Lonchura striata: one gene and its partners. The protein of the gene in region 2 interacts with the protein of the main gene of each other region in a biochemical or structural test. Links are inferred from orthologs where the notes say so. Each region holds a gene or a part of one and is shown on either strand. Other genes may lie near its edges.

What was found. The genes of interacting proteins can lie anywhere in the genome.
Region 1: the proteins of FGFR2 (region 2) and FGF7 form a complex in vitro, tested with the Homo sapiens proteins (3 studies listed by BioGRID). The link is inferred for Lonchura striata from reciprocal best matches to the Homo sapiens genes FGFR2 and FGF7.
Region 3: the proteins of FGFR2 (region 2) and FGF10 are reported together in a solved structure, tested with the Homo sapiens proteins (3 studies listed by BioGRID and IntAct, with this or other methods). The link is inferred for Lonchura striata from reciprocal best matches to the Homo sapiens genes FGFR2 and FGF10.

The regions. Positions count from the first base shown.
Region 1 is NC_134613.1:14,254,095-14,262,143, forward strand, and holds the start of FGF7 (fibroblast growth factor 7), read left to right. Parts: upstream 1-4,975; coding exon 4,976-5,261; intron 5,262-8,049. UniProt on the Homo sapiens protein: Plays an important role in the regulation of embryonic development, cell proliferation and cell differentiation. Required for normal branching morphogenesis. Growth factor active on keratinocytes.
Region 2 is NC_134609.1:28,086,753-28,093,717, reverse strand, and holds the start of FGFR2 (fibroblast growth factor receptor 2), read left to right. Parts: upstream 1-3,915; 5' UTR 3,916-4,006; intron 4,007-6,965. UniProt on the Homo sapiens protein: Tyrosine-protein kinase that acts as a cell-surface receptor for fibroblast growth factors and plays an essential role in the regulation of cell proliferation, differentiation, migration and apoptosis, and in the regulation of embryonic development.
Region 3 is NC_134642.1:34,761,759-34,768,889, reverse strand, and holds the start of FGF10 (fibroblast growth factor 10), read right to left. Parts: upstream 3,075-7,131; 5' UTR 2,848-3,074; intron 2,632-2,847; exon of another isoform or gene 2,488-2,631; intron 2,359-2,487; 5' UTR 2,284-2,358; exon of another isoform or gene 2,159-2,283; 5' UTR 1,950-2,158; coding exon 1,613-1,949; intron 1-1,612. UniProt on the Homo sapiens protein: Plays an important role in the regulation of embryonic development, cell proliferation and cell differentiation. Required for normal branching morphogenesis. May play a role in wound healing.

The DNA of each region.
Region 1 (8,049 bases), on a different chromosome or scaffold from region 2:
TATTCTATCTCCTTCAAAAGTCACTATCAGGATACTCCATTGTCCAAGTGAAAAAAGCCTGGATGGATTTACCTTTGAGTTTACTATTGACTGAGATAGGGTATTCTTAGCCTTTGCTTTCCCTAAAATAAGCTATATACAACATATTTGCTGTAACTAATTAAAATAAAAGGAATTAATTATTTAGTAGCCAAACTATTTGATAATTTGAGCAGGGTTTTTTTCCCAAGTATCTACCACATCCCATTCAATTTTTCCTGTAGATTTAAATCAGCTCAATATGAACTGGATGAATAGGAGGAAACAAAAAAAGGAATGATGTTGAAGCGATCTGTTTTGAAAATTGCTTGGAAAAAATTGCTGTTGTCTTTTCAATATGATTTTAATAACCCATACCAGTTAGCAAAACCAAAAAGACATTCTTATATTCAGGGAGACAAAGGATTCATAGTTACAGTTTTTAATCTCAGCCTTACAACCTGAAAAGATCAATCAAAACTGAGGTGCAATATTCCTTGTCTCTCTTGTTTTTACTGCCTCATTATATGAGTTTATTTTCCACACATGTTGCTGTGTTTCTCAGATTCTGCAACGTTGATAAAAGATTTGCTCAAACTCTAGCACTTTTCTTGTATCTCTTGCATGCAATAACAGTCAGCCTTGATCTGATGCTGATTTCTGAGATGTGGAAACTGTGGATAAAGATTGAACCACTAGAATATTTAGCACCTTCACATCCATGGTATTTTTCCCTAGAACCTTCCAATCCCAGAAGTTTAGCTTTTGCTGCAGGGCATTAAATCCCAAGATCTTGGGTTTAAAGTCAGATACACAGATTTTTATCTTCATACTCTCTTAAACTCTGCAAGTTCTGGGAGATGTTCTAAAGCAAATTCTAAATGGATCAGGAAACAAGGAGGAAGAGATGACGATTCTTAGCAGTGATGTGTTGCCCTAAGGGCAAACTTGACAAAATTGAGGTTTTTTAAAAGTCACATTCATGACCCAATGCTACAGTTGGGCAGTAAATTTGCAGCAGCCCAGCCTGGAGATGAAGAAAGCATGGGACCTTGTGTTATCATCTGAAAGGACAAAAAGTAACTTCCTATGTAAGGAAAAAGGGAATTATCTTTATAAAGTTATATTTTAACTGGAGACCAATGCCCAGTCTTTACAATCAGAAGCAAAGTGTTTGCAACTAATTTCCACTTCCCTTTTCAGCAAGTGCATTGTAACAAAAACTCTTATCAACATTTTGGAAGCACCAATGCATGCATTCAATATTAAAGGATGGCTTACAGCATGTGCATTTTGCACATTTCCATGTTTCCTGTGGTCCTGAAACCTGAACACCTCACCAAAGAAACAGAAAATCACAAGCATTTTAGGTGGAAAATTCCTATATATTATTAAAGAGTTGCTGGACATGCATTTTGTTAAACAGATACAGCACCAAGCATCAGTCAAGCTAAATCTTCTCTAAACATAAAGCAATTCAATTTGAGAGACATTAGTTATGCTTGATTTATCAGATGCATGTTGGGCCATTCAGAGGCTTGGCAACACACGCAGAGAAGCCTGATGTACACATGCACATCCCTTCATTAAAAGATACAGAACTGGACTTGTTGCATAGCAAGACATAAAAATATGTAATTAAGGAAGACTGCAGCTAAAGCATGGTGGAAAGACATTATTCTATAATTACAAAATACAAGGATATGAATGTTAGCAGCAATAATTAAATAGTAACTGCATTGTTCACCAACTAAAATTGGACCTAGTGCCTTATCTAAGCCATTTCTCATTTATTCTTAACTACAAAAGTTTCCAGAGATCTGAAGTGAGGCACCACTTAAGAAAACTCACATCAAGAGATTTATTTTTTCAGAGCCAAGAGAAATACATACTTATGCCTGGACCACTAATAGCTCCAGCTTTCTGGAATTGAAACCTCAGGTATGTATTTTTTCTTCTGGTACTAACTGTCAGAAACAATAAATTAGCAAGGAAAAAGAAAAATTAAAACCAGTATGGATCTGAAAGTGCAGGTTGTTACTGAACATAAAAGACCTAGAATATTTACAAAAACATTTCTACTTACATCCTATTTTGCTGAGTAAAACACAGATTACCTTTTATCCTTGATTGCTTTCTTTATAATACACAACAGATAAGCCTTTTGAATACCACAAATTTTTTTCATTGCTATCATTCTGAATTCAGACTGTGGAATGGGTCAGAGAACATGCTGATATAAATCCAGCAAATGTACTGTAAAAGCCACAAGTGGGATAAGTCACTTCAGTCCTCACTCCTTGTCAGAATGGTGGCATGGGTTGACAAGACAGAAGTCAAACCGGAGACAGCTGTGATCACAGTTTACAAGAGTTAACTAACGACAGCTACTTCTTTGTGTATCAGCTGCAGGTAGGCAGCCTTTGAAAGCCCTCAGCAGTACATCTTTCATATCAGAAAAGTGCATATACTGAGTCTTTTGCTAAAGTAGGAAAATGAGGCTGAGCTACAGAACACAGAAAACAGCCCAGTATGCTGAAATGGGGATAACAACAAGAAAAATCTATCAACTGTGGACTATAGTCATATAGTGTGAAAATGGTTAAAAAAGAATGCAAAGCAAGTGACAAATGGGACTGATCCATGTGGGTGCTGACAAGGAGGCTGTTGATATTAAGGAAGGAAATTACTCATTCTCTCTGTGTATAGGAAAGGCTGAGTACTACAAGTTTGCCTGGTGTGCCTTTTTGTTAATTTTGGATCAGTCCAGTAAAACACCCTGTTTACTTATGTCCCACTCACCACAAGGTGGCACATACGTACTCCCTGGGATTTTTAACTGCTTCTGCAGTTCACTTAATTTTTAATTAAGAGGGAGAAAGGGAGTGGGGATGGGATAAGAACATGGAATCATAAACAGCATATATTATTAGGCAGAAACTATTAAACATAAGTAAAATATTCTTAACAACTGGATTAATTCCAAACTTTCCTTGTTGATATTACTTACTAAAGGGACTGATGTGTTCTCACATCAACAGTGGGGCAGTTAGAAAGGATAAAGAGCTACTGAAAACTTTGCTTCAACGAGTTTTACAAATACACTCAACAGAAACAACAGAATTTCAGGGTGAAATGGAGCATGGGCAGGCCAGTGTCAGAGAGAGAAACAGGTACACAAAAGCAGAAAACCAGGTGTATCCACTCATTATTTTCATTCTCTAGATCTTAAGCCCATTGCTTGGTGTGCAGTATTAGGGGTTTTCTTACATTGCTGCCAGTTTTCATTCTCCCTTTCCGTGTTTCCAGAACTAACTACATATGCTAAGAAAGGCTGCTCCCTTGTAGCAATTTTTCCTTCAAGCTGATAAGGTTGCGTTTGAATGTCAGACTTTGAAACATCCAAATATACTTTCTCATTTTCACCTAGTGGCTGATCAAATAAAACCTCAATGCAGTGGTCCCTCTTTTCAAATCCATGCTATAAAAATATACCTCATGATCTCTAAGGGCTACAGCACACCCTTCTCCAACGTATGTAACAGACCCATGTCTCATATATCCTTCAGAAAGGCACTTAAGCAGACTATGAATCCACCAGACTGCAGAAGAGATTTGAAAGCACACTGAGATAAGCGTGTGAGTACAAAAGAGAGGAGGCGGAATTTTTTAAGGACAGAGAATACTGACCTAAACCAGAGCACAGAAACACTAACTAGCATGTGAAACAATTCTATCCACGCAGCACAAAATATACATTTTTAGAAAGAAGATTCTTGGAGATTTAAACCATAAACTATGTACATAGCTCCCTCTGATGACCACTGGACACGATACAATGCAAGTCTCCTTTTACTTTTGTTCGTGCATTCAACTGACAGCTGACTGGTTAAATTCTAATTGCTTCCAAGTGAGGTCAGCAAAGGTATTTATCGAAAAGGACTGAACAGGCTCAACACACACATGCACGCGCACGCATAAGCACATACACATCTCTCCAGCCTGTTGATTTATGGAAACAATTATAATTCTGGTGGAGTCTTTCTGAGCTGAGAAAGTTTGTAGCTACAGTAGAGTGTCTCATGTTGCAAAAAGGAGACAGCAGAAATGGAGTACATGGGTATCCAGCTCTTATCAACAGGAACAAGTAAGTTATTTGTCCTTTACAAGATTATTCAACAGTTTCTAATAGCTAGTAACTTATTTTTATTTCTGCATGCTAGATGCTAAAAAAATAATTAAGAAAACTATTTTTACTAATAATCTGAAAAGGGTAGGAATAAAACACAGGGCTAAAGCCATGAGGTCTGTTTTGAAATCTGAACTAGAGAAAACTTATATGATAGATTGTGCTAATAGTAAATATATATGTAAGATGTAATCAGGAGAATTTTATCATGCATGAGAGTTGAAATGAATCAATATGAGATTTTTGGAAGGACTTAAAACTGAAGAAAGAACTGTGTTTACAATCAGTGTAAATATCTGGTTATGTAAAAAGTTTTATGAGATATATCTATCGTATATGCATTAGTATATTTTTTAAAATGAGCTCAGCATGTCATGTATTTTTGTGTAGTACTTTTCATTAGCATAATGTATCCTTGCACGTTTGTAACAATTGAGCATAACGACTTACACATGCACCTTTTCTCACAGATCTTTTACTTTCAGTGCAAGCAGCAAATTCAAGTAGTAAAGAAGGTCACAGCAACAAAGGTTTTTATAACTTGTGTCTTTAAAGGATATTCTGACTGAAGAGATATTTAAGAAGCTCTTCTATTTCGCCATTAACATTAAGGAATAACGATCAGAATTCTAGAAGAGGGAGCAATCTCACTTAAATGAATCTGTAACTCATAAAGACAGAAAGCAGGTCGGTGACCTAGAAGCAACAGTCTACTTGAGATTTAATTTTCATTATGTTGTTCATGAACACCCAGAACACTGCACTATAATGCACAAATGGATACTGACATGGATCCTGCCAATTTTGCTCTACAGATCATACTTTTACATTATCTTTCTAATGGGCACTATATCTTTAGCTTGCAATGACATGACTCCAGAGCAAATGGCTACAAATGTGAACTGTTCCAGCCCTGAGCGACATACCAGAAGCTATGATTATATGGAAGGGGGGGATGTAAGAGTGAGAAGACTTTTCTGTCGAACTCAGTGGTATATGAGGATTGATAAACGAGGCAAAGTGAAAGGGACAAGAGAAGCAAACAACAACTACAGTAAGTAATATTTTTGCTTTTCCTAAGTTTTTAGAAATTTACATATAATTTTTTCCTATCCATTGATCTATCATAATTCCAGAAGAGTTTTGTATCATGTACTGGCCATTGTGTAAAACAAGTTTTCCAATTAATCGTACAGCAGGACATTTGCTATTGATTTTGAAATGCGTCATTTTAAATACTGCATTGTAGATCTGTTAATGTATTAGTTACAGCTGGGAACTATTAGCAAACAGAGAGCCTATTTTAACAAGTGAACTAAGGTTATATGTACGAAAATGTATAACAACCAACTCTCCTCATAAAATACTCCTGAAACATTAAACCACTTTTATATAGTGCACAAACTACCTAAAAGTTTGGTGTGTTTGAGTTAACAATTAAAACATAGAAATACTAGAAAGTTCAATGGAAAGAATTATGTAAACTCTCTTGCAAAATCTTTTAGACAGTTTGCCAAGCCAGGAACAAAATCTATTATAGTTTCTGCAGTTCATTATTACAATAATCATGATGCTTAAAAAATATTCTCCCCCCATTCTTCTAAAACCATGACTCATCTAGAGAGAATGGACATACAATATTTTATGAAGCTGTATCAAATACAAATTCTGAATTGGAAAAAGAATTGTTGTACTAATATATATTTTCCACATAAATACCTATATAATCTTTGATTAATATTTGAAGACATCAAGTTTTACAGTCACTATTTTTGCCACTTTGTCTTTTGTGTTATTACAAATGTATTGTTTATTCTTCTGCTTGAAAAGGCATTACTTTATTAAGATGCAACAGGAAAATACATAGGATTATACAACATACTTCAAAACAAAATTATAACAAAAAGACCACCAAGGACATGCTGGTCTAGTGCTTAAAGACAAATAAAAGGACAAATATATTTCAAATAATTGCTTTTAAAAATTATTAAATTTGTTGGATATAATAGTGTGCTTTTTATAATAGTAGCAGCAAAAGAAATCCATAAATCAAACTTCAAGAACTGTTAGTGTGTGTCAGCCTCCAGCTGAAGCTGAGTGCTTGTTTTCTACCAGAGCAGCACTTTGGCGTGCTCTGCGCCTGCCTAGTGGGCTTCATCATTTATTTCTTTGCTTCATGACTACATTAAGTGCTTGGCAACTTGTGTGGCTAAAACTGCATTCACTAATGTCACTGTTTCTTTTAAAATTTGTTTCCATATGTCTCCTTTCTTCTTACACTATTACATAGTGAATAACCATATTCCTCTGAAAGACAACATATGGCCAGCAGCCAACTAAATTATTTGGTCCATATTCAAGAAGACTCCCTTTGAGTTTCAGGAGGGCATTGCTACAACAGAGATCCATAGGAATAGTTTTGAAGTGAAATGTTGTTCCCATAAAAAATCATAAATGGAAAAAATGTTACTGACTGTTTAAGCTGATTCTTCTGAATTAATGCAGATAAGTGAATATTCACAGTATCCATTTTTTTCTGTTATTATTTACAATCACATTATGACAGCATCTAGAGCTAAGTAATTTATTATACAGAGTTGCTTTTTTTAGCTCCATAATTCGTAAGTAAAACCTTGTTAGCAATTTAGCATTATTTCAAATTCAAGCAGAGGTTCTCAGTTCTCTGAGGGATCCCATTCTGCTTAAGCGCATTAGCGACACACTTAAACATTCTGTAGGGAGCCCATCAGAGAACACCACATCCCCTTGTGCCAATGATGTAGTCTCTTGCAGTTTCCTGAACACTTCAAGATAATTCAGTCATGGTAACTAACTATTATGAATTACAGAAAGGGAATCTTGAGTCACTAAACCCTTATGTTTACATTATAGTGGAAAAAAAACCCCAATCCTTTTTCTGGTAAATGTAATGAGTATGATGAGAAAAACCATGAAATTGTAATGGTTATCTGCTAACTGATGTGCATTGTGATGAACCATCTTTAAATTGGCAGAAGCACATAGGATACTCCCACCATCTTAACTTTAATTTATCTATAGTATCTTAAGGAATAACACCCAAATGCTTTTGTTGAACAAGTAGATAGGCAAATATAGACAAACAGGACTAGAAAAATGTGAACACTGATAATCTGGATTTTCTCAGAAACTAAAGAAATTAGTACCGCAGCAATATTATGGAAACACTTTTTGTTATACCCTTTGTTCAACAGAAGATGTAAAGACCCTTTCTGAAGATGTGCCTATGGCTCTCTACCAAAATCAATAACCACAAAGAAAATGATATGAGGGGGCAAAAACCAAAACCAACAAAAAAAACCCTGAAAAAATAATGCCCACCTGGACTTGTACACCTTCCTTAACGAAAAAAAAATAACATTAGAAATTTAAACAGTATATTTTTATCCAGGTTCTCTGAAAAGTGTAATTTTAAAATCATACAGATGAAAAGGATGTATTTTTGTGTGTTCAAACATTCTTGTTCCATGATTTCTTAGGATGGAATGCCAGAACTGCTGTAGTCAAACTAATCAATGGACATGAAAAGTGTTGCTCCAAGAGGTTTCTTCTCATTTTATCCCAATTTTCCACTTACATAATAAATAAAAGAAACTGCTTTCCCTTTTGAATGTGCTGCTAAAATTAAATAAGAAATAAGATCATATTTTTACCTATCGTAATTTAGCTTCATGAAGGAAACTGTCCTGAGAGTTTTGTAGCTCAAGTGAGCTACTTCTTTTCAGGCCATGAGGTGTGAAGCATGAATATTGTGATTCACACTGAGAAATGCCTGTAGAAGGATAACTTCATCATAACTTTGG
Region 2 (6,965 bases):
CTTTTGTTTTAAAACAGGGTTGTTTTTGTATGAAATAACTTTTCCCTAAGACACTGAAAAATCTATAGAGCAACTTTGCCTGTCTTTGAAAAAAAAAAATCAGAAGTGGGGTCCTATTATTTGCTCTTGGGTACCCTAAAAAGGAGTTTGAAGCTGCCTGGAAAGAAAACCATAAACATTTTGGAAACCAGGTAAATATTTTAGCTGCCAAAGTTTGAGTTTAGACACTTAGCTTTGGAAGAACTTCAAAGAAAAGAAAAATCTTAGACAAGCATTTAATCATATCCAGCATGAGCAGGAGAAATTTTTGGATGGGACAGTTGGAATAACAGGGAAGAATTGTTGATTCCCATTGTCTTTCATGGAGAAAACCCTCGGTGATGTGTGTGGTTGAATTTGGATTTAGGGAGTTTCTCCCCAAAGACCTCTAAGACTTGAATGTGTGGGCTTTCATTTTCTTTCATTTTTTTCCCTGCTTTAACTCCATGTATTTTATTGCTGTTTCCATCAGCGGCATGTTGGCAGGTCCTGCACCTGGAGAATGGTGCAGTGCTGCAGAACCTCCTTCCCCGGGGTACCCATGGCCTCCCCTGCCATCTGCCAGGAGCTGGGGCTGCTTCCTCGCTGGAATTCCACGGAGGAGCCGCTTCCCGCGGAGCTCTGCCTGCCCTGATATCTCCAGCACTTAAAAGAAATGTCAGAGAGTCTGCGGGGATTAGAAGAACTGAGAGAGCTCTGTGCTGTGCTTTTTTCCGAGGTGACTTTTCCCGCATTTCTCGGAGGCGCTGCCTGCCCGTCTCACCCCATCTCCCCGCAGACACGAGCTGCTTGCCACCTGCTGAACCTTCTGCCTTCATCCCTTCCAGCTGGGCTTCTATGGATGAGCTGGTCCAGCCCAGGAGCAGCCTGAAGTCGGGCACATCTTTACCCCCCCAGGTAAAAGGGATGTTGGGAGGGAATGAATCCATTCCCTAACTTTTTGCCTTCATCCCTTCCAGCTGGGATGAAGGGATGAGCTGGTCCAGCCCAGGAGCTGCCTGAAGTCGGGCACATCTTTACCCCACCAGGTAAAAGGGATGTTGGGAGGGAATTAATCTATCTCCTCAGTTTCTGCCTTCATCCCTTCCAGCTGGGATGAAGGGATGAGCTGGGCTCTGCTGGGTCCAACCCAGGAGCTGCCTGAAGTCGGGCACATCTTTACCCCGCCAGGTAAAAGAGATGTTGGGAAGGATTGAATCCATCTCATCACCCAGCTGTGCCCTCGCTGCAGCTGGAGCAGGGCTGGGACCCTGCTCCTGTTGAACATTAACTCTATCCCTGCCTGCGTGCAGAGGGAGGACTGGAGCTGGGCTGACAGCAGCGACAAAGAGCTGGCAGGGCTGAAAGATTCAATTTAACTTTCTTTCTCCTCCCCCGCTTCCATATGCGAGGGCACACAGCGCTGTTCCTGCTTTTGAAACTTGCGGGGCAAAGGAGCATTGGTGTCCTCATTTTCCTTCCTCCCTATTGATGTATCATTGCCAGGATGAAAAAGGACGTCTCAAGAGCTTTTGAAAAAATGGGTGACTACTCAAGACATTTTATAAAGGAGGAAGAATGGGAGAGAAAATAGGACTCGGTAGGGGGTAGAAGGAGCCTGAATGTGTGCCTTGTCTGTCTATTCTTTAGCTTGAAACCTGGAGCTGTTGTTCCTATTTCAGTTCAAACTGTCACCTTTAGTTCATGATGGCTTTACTGCCCTTGCTCCTGAACCTCAACAGATTGGGGCTTATTTACCTATTCACACTCTGCTGTGGAACCTCATTAATAGGCTTATTAGCCACACCATTCACGTGCAGGAGGGCTCACAGAAAGGATCCCAGCCACTTTGAGAGGAGGAGGAAAAAACTGTAAAGAGATTATGCTCTCATTCAGCAGCCTAACTGCTATGAAAGGCTCCCTGGGCCCACTGAGATCTCTTGAAGCCTAAATATGATGACAGAATTGATCCCCCCCCCCCCACCCCTTTAATTCCAAACATGCTTCTGCTTTTCTCAGATTGAGGAGCTGGGCTGTTGTGGGCCACTTTAGGAGAATGTGGCTCATTTAAGAGAAAAGGCTGCTATTGATAGACTGCTATCTTTTCATCCTCCAAAAGAATAAATTCTGACAAGTGCTTCCAGACCTTGGAAATAGGTGTTCTGACTTGTCATTTTTAGTGGAATGCTTCCTTTTCTTTCAGAGTATGCAAAGATATCGATGAATGGGGAAAGGTATTGCAGCTTCCTGTGCCGGACAATAATTTATGTGAGAATGTGTTAACAATGTTTTCAATGGGCGATGGACATGCCCGGTGCTGGGAAAATTGGATCTTGACTGTGACATCTCAGCTTCTCAATTAGTAACATTCAGATGTCTGTTGCTTTAGGAACAACAAAAAAACCCCGCAAAAACAAAAAACGAAACCTGTGTTTCCAATCAATTACAAATTTGTCTGCCCTCCCTCATAAAGGCTGCAGTAGTGGTGGGAAAATACGTGCTGGGAGGTAAGTACAGAAAACTTGAAGTTTTTGGTGTCTAGGTGTGTGGAAATAGTCTTACACTACGATGCGTGGCCTCAGTCCTTGAAAATCCCCTTGATCAATACTTCACACAACATATAAAATGTACAGTAGAGCTTAAATAAAGTAACATTAAATTGATCAACACTGATTAAATTTGAGGCAACCACCACTTATTGATTTTGTTGTCAAGCTGATTCTACACAAGCAAGCATTACAGACTCCATATTCAAAACCTTTGAATGGTTGATGGTATCTAAAGCAAATGTTTTATTAAGCAAGGATCAGGCTAAGCTATATTGAATTCTGAATACCAATATTATGCAGTTTTAAATCCGTGTGGCCAAACAAATGATGTTTGCATAACTTTTCGACAACTTTTCCCATTTGGGCACCACACGGGTATTAAAAGTGCACTGTCAGACCAACTCACGGGGCAGCTGGAATCAAGCTTTGGATGAGAGGCTCCTGAGGGTAATTTTTGGAGCGGGTGTTATCCAGCTACCCTCTCTGGATGGGACTGGCCGCTGGCCAGCCGTGGCTTCTGAGCCAGAAACACTGCAGGAGAGGTTTCGGGGACAACTGCCGAGCTGGTACCATTTCAGCGTGAGGATGCAGACGCTGCCCAGCGCCGGGGTGGCGGTGCCGCAGCCCAGGCTCACCCGCTGCGGCGGCGCTTTCCGCGCACCTCTCCCTCTCCCTCTCCTTTCCAGCCCGCTGGAAAAACTTTCAGCGGAGCAGCCGGCCGGGAGCAGCGCGGGTTCCTGCCCTCGTCCCCGCGGCCGCCCCGGGATGCGCTGCCCCGCTGCCCCGGGCGGGCAGGGCCGGAGCGCGGCTCCCCGCTCCCCTCCTGCCCCGCGCCGCTGCTGCCGCGGGGGCACCCGCGACCCCCGGGCGGGGTGGGGGCTCCCGGCTCCGCACCTCCGAGGGCTCGGCGGCGATTGGCAGAGCCCGGCAGCGCCGTCCAGGAAACGGCTCGGGTTGCAGCGGGGGGAGTGACCGGGGGAGGAGGAAGGAGCCGGAGGAGTGCGCCGAGAGGGGGGGAGAAGGGGGCAGAGAAAACCCACCTCCCACCCGAGGGGGCTGTCGGCGTGACAAAGCTGCGGCGGCTCGGGGCGGGCGGCTGGATGGAGCGGAGCGGGACCCGCGGCGCGCTGCTCGGCGATGCCCGCGCGGGGGAGGAGGCAGCTGGCGCCGGGCACGGCGGGCTCGCCCCTGTGAGGCGGTAGCCGCCGCGGCCGAGCCAGGGCACGGCACGGGACGGGGCGCCGGGCCGGCTCCTGCCTCGCCTCGCCGCCCTCCTGCCTGCCCCGGGCGCGTCCCGCGGGGGATGCGCGGCGCTGCGCCGCTGCGGGCTCGCCAGCCGCGGCCGCCCGCGCCGTGACCGCGGCCGCAGCCGCGGGAGTTCCGCCCCGTCCCGGGAGCCGCCGCTCCGCAGCGGAGCCCGCCCGGCGCTCTCGCCGCAGGTAAAGGCAGCGGGCGGGCCGGGGAAGGGCGGCCCGGGGCAGGGCTGGGGGTCCCGCCGCGCTCCCGGCTCCGGGCGGGGCTCGGGGGTCCCCCGGTGCGGGGCTGGGGGTGCCCGGGCCGGGATGCGCCGGTGCGGGGCTCCCTTTGCTCCGCGGTGGAGCTGCGGGTCGCGTTGCGGTCGCTCGGTCGCCGCTGCGGTGCGGGGGGAAGCCCGAGCAGCAGCGCTGTTCCCCTGCCGTTCCCGCATCCCCGTGGGTGTCTTCGGGGATGGTTCCAGCGGTGACAGCAGCACGGGCGGAGGAAGGGAGGCTCGCCCCGGAGGAGCAGCCCCGCCTCGGTAGCGGCCGCGGGTCGGAGCCCGGTCCTGCCCCGCCGTGCTGCGGGAGCGGGGCTGCGGGGCACAACCGCCCCGTCTGGGACAAGGGGGGAGAGAAATCGTCAATGAAATATATATTTAAATGCAAAACGGCCCCTTCAAACTGGGACCCATTATGCGTTTGGTGTGAAACGCTATCAACATTTAAAACTTTATTGTCTCCTTTGTACCAAATCCCTGTAAATCTTCCACTAGCCTTTTCTCATTTTCATCTGAAAAGCCTGTTTGGGCTGAATAGACAGCAATCAGCAGCCTCTGGACTTCTCCCGCTCTCTGGAATGTCAATTAAAATGCAGATTTTTCTTCCCCCCCCCCTCCCCGATCTCTTGGTGGCAAAAGACTTGAGAAAAACAGGATAGTCCTGGAAAGCAAATGAAAGAAGTTCAAACAATGAAAAAGTACTGAAGCTGCCAGCCGGTTCCCATTAGTCCTTCAGAATTAATGTTTAATAGCTGTGATACTCAGATTTGCTTGGCGATTGAACTCTGCTGAAGAGTCTTGTTAGATATATATGTGTATGTATATTTTTATAGATGGATGTATATTTCTGCATTTTCTGTCCATACACAATTCTTCTGTCAGTGGAATTGTGTATATAAAGCTGTTAGCTTTAAAGCTTCTTCAACCTGGATTTTTTCTGACGAAGCTACTAGGCTTTTAGAGCCCTTGAGGTTTCTTTGTGGAGGGAAGATCCATATTTCACTCAGATTTTGCTATTCCCCGCCTAATTGAGAAAGATGCTGAAAAGTTATACAGTGACCAATGCATTGATTTGGTTAACATACTCTACAAATCGTGCTGTCCCTGGGGAGTGATAAACATCTTATAAACAACAATGCAAGTAGATTAAAAAGAACACTGAGAATTGAATTTAATTAATGTCACTGCTGAACAAGTACTACTTGTTTGTGTGTGCGAGTGTGTTTAAACTGAAGTGCAGCTTGGAGGAATTTGGTTGGGCTCCCAAACCAGTCTGCTTTCCCATGCTTGTCAGTTTGGCAAAGAAAATTTGGGCAGGTATGTGACGAGGTGAAAATTGACTTGATGAGCGAGTGGCAAGGAGAGCCATCAATCATTGGGGGCTGACAACTCCTCCCCAAAGTGTAGGCTGAGAAGAGAGACAGAGTTCCCTTTCAAGGGGAAAAATAAACACTACGTGTGGCTTTCACTGAGTCTGAGACTCCAGGAGGGATTATGGTATTGTAGTCAGGAAGCCAGAATTGTGGAGGCCAAAAAGCATGCTGGGGCTGTGTTCCAAACATTGAGATAGAGGTACATAATTATCCAGCACAGGAGGTCTTTCCAGGGACTCGTCCCCCAGCAACTGTGGCAATTAAACTATGAAAAGAATTTGGTGGTTTCGTTGCATCTTCGCTGGACTCCACTTCTTTTGGGAGAGGGCAATCCTTGAAGCCTGTCTGCTGTCCTGGTGGTAGAGTGGTTTGGCTCCATGGATGGGTGCAGAGCTCTGATTTTTGCATCGTTGCGCCTTCGCAAGGCAGGATTTTGGGTTTGCTGCTGCCCTGTGGATGAAGAATCCCTTCTTTCTGCCGGCAGATGTTGAGGTGCAGGAGGCAACAAAAACCTTCAGGTGAGGAGACGCGTGGCCAAGTAGCTTTGTGCCGCTCTTCAGGATTTAGGGTGAGGATAGGAACCACAAATGTGCTGTCAGTGGTGTTTAGTGTAGTCTGAAAATCTGAAACTGCAGGAATGTCAGTGGAATTAATGCTCTTGGAGTTTGAAATACATGCTGGCGTTCTGGTATGTTTTCTTTCTGCAAAACCGTGATAGGATTTTGCATTTATCAACATAGGCTTTAATCGGAGTTTACAGGATGATTTATGGAAATGAAATCAGCATTACAGCCAGGCTGTTAATGAGGGGTTTCTACCCACTTTACAGCTGGATAAACTGAGCTGCAGGGCTGTGGCTGCCAGACAGCGAGGTGGGCAGTGGACCTGGGTGGTGGCATCCAGGGGGGTTTGCTCCACGCACAGAGTGGTCCCAAAACCAGAGCTCTCTTCAGCTCTACACCTGCTCTCTGCTTATTTAGAGAAGGGCCGGGCAAGCTCTTTGCAAATGTTTGTGCAGTGGTCTGGTGGTGTTTTCGCTGGAAATGTAATGGTAGTTGCTAGCTTGTGGTCTGGGATGCTGGAGCCGGGCTGAAATCTTTACAGGAAGGGACAGGGCTTTGAGGTGATACCAACGGAGTTGGAAAAAGCTTGCCCTGAAGTAGCAGGGATTCATCTTGTATTGTTTTCCTCAAGTGATTTATTTATGTCATCCAAAACCTGTTTCTACTGACTCCAAAAGTTACTGTGTATAGTGCCCAAGATAAAAGATGCCCCAGCAGCATTTGTGAACTTTGTAGCAGCTAGCGCAAGGCTAATAAAAATCAGAATCAACTTTTTAAATGGTTGGCTTTATAAAAGGAGAATCTTTGTCCCTGTTTCAGCATGCTGAGGTACCACACCAAATCTTAATGACAAGAAGTTTGGAGAAGGTTTACATTATCTCCACACTCCCTTACTTCTTCTTTTTTTTATTATTTTTTTTATTTTTTATTTTCAAGTGTTGGGGGC
Region 3 (7,131 bases), on a different chromosome or scaffold from region 2:
GATATGTAGTTACTTGCCTGAGTACACTGCTGTCAGAGTGAGCACCTTACAGCCCTTTTCGGCAGCAGTGTGCTATACAGAATGGTTTGATGTTCTCGGAGATGCATGCAAAGCTTTCAGAATCCCATTTTAGGGGTGCTGTCCTCCAAATCCAAGGGTCATCTAAGAAACACCGTTCTAGGACCTCATTCCTCACAAATTCATCAGTTAAGCCTCTCTCACTGCTGTTTTTTAAGATTTTGCCTTTCTATGTAATACAGAAAGGGACATGGTAAGATTCAGCTGCTTTGACATCTAAAGCATTTACAAACATTAGAGTAAGTGATAAAGCATGAAGTTGCAAGGTGGAGGAAGTGAACAGCAACACATGATACTCCATCCCTTTTATCACTTTTTCTAAGGTTATATTATGGGTATTTATTAGAAATACAGCTGAATTAACAGCAGTGTCTATCATATAGCATGGCAACCTGCTGTATGTATTTTACACATTTGCAAACAAGGGATCGACTTAATTCACTTTCAGTTGTTTTAATTTAACAGCAGATTTATTCACGGGTTTATCTGGATTTACATAAAACAACACAAGAACCAAAATGTGGCTCTTTACCAGTGAAGAAAGCCTTAGAGTTTCCTTGAGTTGCGCAACAGAGCTTACTTTCTCAGCATGCTCCTATAGTGGGACATAGTTAAGATTTTAAGAGAAGACAATATATTGTGATTTAGTACAGATCAATTTGAGACTGCACAGGCAGGAAAACCAAGTAAAGGATACATTTCTAGAACTAGCAGCCAAAAATACATTACCAGAAGCATCCTATTACTATGCATCTAATTAATTCTAGAGAAAAGCTCGAAACATCAGCTATGGAGACTGCCGTATGACTTTTGCTCTGAAATAATTTATTTAAAAAAAAAAAAAAGAAAGAAAGAAAGAAAGAAAAAAAAGGGACAATGAAACGCGTGTGAGGTCTGTGGGAAGGCAGCCCCAGATGTTTACAATGGAGCGAGTAGCGGTATAGCGGCGCTGCAGCCCGGGACCGGCGGGGCGCAGCACGGCACCGCCTCCGCCGCACCGCGGGCGGCAGCGCGGCCGCGCACCGGCTCCAGCGCCGCCGGGCACCCCCGCTGCGGAGAGTGCACCCCGGCAGACCCCGGCCGCAGGAATAAACACCCCTCTCCGGGAGCGGGGAGGAGGCAGCGCGGAGCGGGCGGCTCGGGGAGAGGAGCGTGCGGGCAACCGATTAATTGTTCCAATGCAGCGCTCTCGTCAAGGCACTCTAATGACAGGGAATAATGATTTTCAGATTCAGGAGACAATGTCCCCCACACACTCCCCGCCACTTCCTTGCAAATCTTTCTAATTTGCTCTTCTGCCTGGCGAAGAAACAGACGGTGCTCAGCGAGGCCATTTGCAAAACAAATGTAACCGGAGAGACTCGCAGATACGGGCTGGCCGAGCCGAGCCCTGAGGAGCCGAGCCGAGCCCACCCAAGCCTGCCGTGCGCCCCCTCCCTCCGCGGCGCCCCCTCTCCCTTCCCTGCGCAGCCGGGGCTCGGGCGCGGGGCGCCGCGGCTCCTGCCCGGCAGCGCGGCGGCAGAGCCGTACTTACTGAACGGGCAGTTCTCCTTCTTGGTGCCGCTGACCTTGCCGTTCTTCTCGATCTTGAGAAAGTACTTGTTGTAAGAATAGAGCTTCCTCTTGCGCACGTCTCCTTGGAGGTGATTGTAGCTCCGCACGTGTCTCCCCGCACTGGAAGGAGAGGAGAAGGACGAGGGGAAGGAGGAGGATGATGAAGAAGAGGAGTTGGTGGCCTCCGGGGACAGCATGTCCTGGCCGAGGTCATGGCAGGTGACAGGCACAGAAGACACCAAGAAGAGCAGCAGCAAGCAGCAACAAGGCAGGTGGGAAAAGGCTGAGGCACCATTTGTCAGTATCCATTTGCACATTGTACTGAAACTCTGGGCGTTGGAAAATGTCTTATCAAATGAAACATACTGGAAGGGTAAAACCTGGTAAAAGGCAAGTGGAGAGACGGTGGTTGCTGCTTCTGGTTAGATTCCTCTGAGCTCTGATCTGGCCTGAAGTAAGTGCACCAACATCCATAACTCAGGGGACAAATCGCCTCAGAAGTTGCTGCCTTTTAATCCTTCGAGTCCTCCCTCAGAAAAAAAGAGCTGTTGGTTGTTGGTTTGGGTTTTTTTTGGGGTGGGGGGGTTGCTGTGGTTAATCCTCTTTTCTTTTTCCCTTCCCCACCCCCCACATGCACACACACTCCCCAACCTGGTTTGAGACTTTCCAGTAGTTATTTTGTTCTCTTCCTCACTCCTTTCTTCACCATCTTTGATGCAGAAAGGTCTGAAAAATAGATGACAGCAAAGTCAATGACAACAACAAAAAACAAGACTAAGAAAAATAATAGCCAGAGGAAAGGGGTTGCCGGAATGGACTTTTCACACATACACCTTTACACACACGCGCACTCACGTTTTGTGGCTTTGCACCTTCTTCTGATCCCCACCCTCTTGCCTTTTCCAAATCCCAAAACAGTTGCACAACTCGTCCTTTTCTCACTGACAACCCCAGAGAAGGAAGTTTCTTTGTTTTCTTTGAATTCTCCAGAACAGAATTAAAAAAAAAAAAAAAAAAAAAAAAAAAAAAAAGAAAGAGAGAAGGAGAAATCCCAACGTTTCCCCCCGCCCTTCCTTTCCTTTCCCTCCCCCTTCGGTTGTAAACAGGTTGGAAGCTCTAGCCTAAATGTCAGCGATTACAAGTTAGAGGTGGGATGTGCCTCTGGTGGTCAGCCCTTATTTGCAGGGGGTCAGGCAGTGGTGGGACATCTGAAACCTTTTTGCAGCTGGAGCGAGCAGTGCCTGCTGCGGAGGCAGCCCCGGGAGCTGCCCTCGCTTCCTCCCGGGCTGCGGCAGCCGCCGCCTTCGGCTCGCTGCTAATTGCTCCTAAAGCGTCCTTCTCCTCGGAGCGCCGGCCACCAGCATGGCTTAGAGACTCATGCTTTACTAATTTCCCTGTCTTCCAAGTTGAACCAATCCCCTCCAGCGAGGCTTCCCTCCCCCTTCACTCTTCCCCCACTCTCTCTCTCCCAACACCCCCCCCCCCCCCCCCCAAAATAAAACCATAAAAAAACCTCAACCAACCAACCTCCTCTTTTAAAAAACCTCCCCAAACTAACAAAAACCAACCCCCAAAACCCCAACTTGTTTTCTAGTGGAGGGTTTTATTTTATTTTTTTTGGCAGTGAAGTGATTGAGAAAGCCACCTGGAGCTTGTTGCCTGCTAGATCTCCCCCTCCCCCCGACTGGAGGAGGGGTTGGGTGGAGAGGTTGGAAAGGAGTATATACTACAGGCAGACCCTGGAAAGGCAGATTATATGCTGGTCAGAGAGAGTAAAAAGGGAAGAGACATAATTAGCTCCTTTTCCTTCTTCTCTGCCAGCTTGCATGGAGGTCTTTCTCCCTCCTTCAATGAATCACTGATTTCTCGCTTCCGTTGCTGAAATAAAAAGTTCACACTTTAGCCTGTTCTTCCTTTTAAGCCTCTCAAGATTTATTGTGTCTCTTTCCCCACCCTTACTCTCCTTGTCTCAAAAGAAATAAGGGCCCTAAATGACCATTTTCTAATTGCTAACATGAGTCGTTTACTGAATCACGCGTCTGACTTCAAAGCAAAAGGGATTTTATTGGCATTGCAAAGGTTTCCCCATAAAATCTGTCTGAATACTTTTCTGTCTTTTTAAATTTTTTTTAAAACTAATGCAGTTTCCCTTGCCAGAAAGAAACAATTTTTCCATTTTCAAGGCTATTTTAAGCGATTTTTCAAGCTATTATTTTCCTGGAGGGGCATATGTTGGTTCTTCCTATGATTCCATCTCTTCCAGTGGATTTATCATTTCACATACTGAATGTTATGACACATTCACATATTGAATGTAAGAATCACATTTCTAGCCCATTACTGAACTGTCAACTTTCCCTGTAATCAACAAGCATCTTCCATATTATATACTATCTTTTAATACCGGAAAAAAGCATCAGGAACTGACAGGGTATGGGTAGCATGCAAGCTATTATATTTTAATCAGTATTTAGCACTGTTAAATAGCTGTTTTGGAACACAAGCAGATGGAACATTTGCTAAGAGAATGGAATACTAGGGACATAGGTACAGAAACACAGTGAGTAGCTCAATAAGTAAGCCCAAAACTTTTTTGAAATAGAAGCAGTTAAATAATGCAGATCAGTGGAATGCAGTGGAAAACCTCCTTTGTGATTTCATTTGGCATTTGGAGTAAATCTTACTTTAAACAACAGAAAATGCAGGAAGAACAAACAGTTCTAAAATTAGACAGATTCATTAGATTAGGATGTTAAATATATTGTTTACTTCACAACAGAAATTAGAAATTATTTTCTCCAATTGTGGTGTTTATTCTGGAGAGAGTTGGTTCCTAAATTTATGTGTTCAGCTGCTGGGGGTGACATTTAAACAGCCTTAAAAATGAAACCATTTAATGTTAAAATCAATATGTTTTACGATGTTGTTTATGGTACTTCAGATTATTTATTCTGCATGTATTTGCACTGAGTGCAAAGCATTTCAGAAATCTTTCTTTTTACAAATCTGATTTAGGCTTTCCTTTTGCCAAAGGCTTTTCCTTTTGGTAATTAATTTTAAAAAAGTAGAGTAGCAAGACAAAATGTAAAGCAAACCTCTCCTTTCTGTGAATGCCTGACATCTTACATGTGTGTCTACAAAGCTTAGGTCAATGTTTGAGTGCTGCCAGGGTCATGAAGACATTATTTCTAAAATTGAAGTAATTTTTATTCTAACAGCTTAAATTATAAAAAATTTCTATAATATATTAAACTTTTAGATTTGAATTTGTCTTTCTTTTTTGTTTTTCTCTTTTTCATGGCAAATGTTGGAAAATAAAGTGAATTGGCATTTTAGGATCTCTGGCTGGAGTTAGAAATAATTTGGGGGTTAAACACCTATAATTAACCCTGAAAAAAATAGGTACTATATTGAATTTACTCAGGAAGAGTTTTGCTGTATTTCTAGCTCATGACTATCTATATATTGGTTGCAAGATTTTGTGCTTAAGAACAGAAAATTCAACATGCACAGAATTTCACATAAGATTTGCTTCTGGCAGGTGCAATATTCAGGGCAGTACTTTAAACTACTGCAAGGCACAGAGTCCTTTTCTATCCTGTGTGATGACAAGGAGGGCATTTACAAAACAGAGTCCAAATGAAAAGCTGACATAGCTTTTTAGATTATATCTCATTCTTTTTTCTACCTTCTGTATAGCCTTTCTTTTATAGCACAGTTGAATCCCTAAATACCCCAGTACTTTGTATTGTCAGGTCACCTCTTAGGTTAGCCTGAGAAAGCCTGAGAAAAGTTCCACAGGAAAGATCCACTATTTAACGGAATTCAATCTGTCCCAATAGATTTGAATCACTAACATAAATGTATGAATGTAGATTATATCTCTGTAATGAGGCCTGAATCATTCTCAGTTACTTCAAAGGCCTGAAATTCAACCTTCCTTTTTAGTAGCAACAATCAGACCTTAATGGGTTTCTTTATTAATTGTTCCATTGCTAAGCTTGAAAAGCAGCTACCTTCAGTACAAGTCCTAGACCAGAAATGGTACCTGCTGCTCAAAACAGTAATTCTGTTTTGCCTTTTACCATTGTAAAATTCTGCAAAATATCTCCCGCACTGCAGTTTTATAAATTATGAATTACATTGACCCATCAAGAGTGAAAAAAAAAAAACACTTTCCAAAAGAAATTGTAAAAAGTAGAAAATATATAATGTAGTTGGAATAAATTTTGCCTTGCATGATTTCCCTTAGTCAAGGTCTTATCTTTTTTGGTGATGTAAATAAATTCTGTTTATGTCTTTGGGTGTTAATATAATCAACTTACTCCCAGATGTCAGTAGCCCCTCAGTTTAGATTGCTAGATTGTGATCATGAACATTTGCTGCTTTCAGTATGACGAGAGATGCACATGCATCTTCTGGTCATATCACCTAATTTTGTTTTTATTCAAGGTATTGGGAAATTTGCCAGTGATTTCATTGAGAGAGATTTCAGCCAGGATTGTCACTGCCAGAGGGGCATCTCTGTCAGAAGCAAGGTGTAGAATGCCAAATGCCATCAATGGCTCAGATGCTTTCCTCTGTATGTCAAATCCAAACTGTAGAACTTGGTATTGTAAAACACTGAATCGCAGAATCACAGATTCAATTAAGTAGGAAAAGAACTCTGAGATCATCAAGTCCAACCTGTGATTTAAGACCACCTTGTCAACCAGACCATGGCACTGAGTGCCACATACAGTCTTTCCTTAAACAGCTCCTGGTGACTCCACCACATCTCTGGGCAGCCCATTCCAATGTTTAATCACCCTTTCTGTGAAGAATTCTTCCTAATGTCCAAGCTAAGCCTCCCCTGACACAGCTTGAGGCCGTGTCTTCTCTTCCTGTTGCTGACTGCCTGGCGGAAGAGACCAACCCCATGTGGCCACAGGCTCCTTTCAGGCAGCTGTAGAGAGTGATAAGGTCATCCCTGAGCCTCCTTTTCTCCAGGACAAACACCCCCAGCTCCCTGAGCTGCTCCTCACAGGACTTGTGCTCCAGACCCTTCCCCAGCTCCATTGCCCTTCTCTGGGCTCACTCCAGCTCCTCAGTGTCTTTCCTGCAGTGAGGGCCAGAGCTGGACACAGCACTCGAGGTGTGGCCTCACCAGTGCCCAGCACAGGGGGACAATCCCTGCCCTGGTCCTGCTGCCACACCATTGCTGATCCAGGCCAGGATGCCATTGGCCTTCTTGGCCACCTGGGCACACCCTGGCTCATGTTCAGCTGCTGTCACCAGCACCCCCAGGTTCTTTTCTGTTGGGACACTTTCTATTCTGTCCCAGTCTGTGGCACTGGATCTCTGAATTACAAAGAAAAGGCAGTGTCATGTAGCAGCAGCCACCAATGAGACAAGTTGTTTGATTTGAGATACAGTGCTGCTTGCTGAAATATTTATACTGTGTAGTTCATGCCCTCTAACAAAGGGACTGAATGTCATTGCATTTTATCTAACAAAATA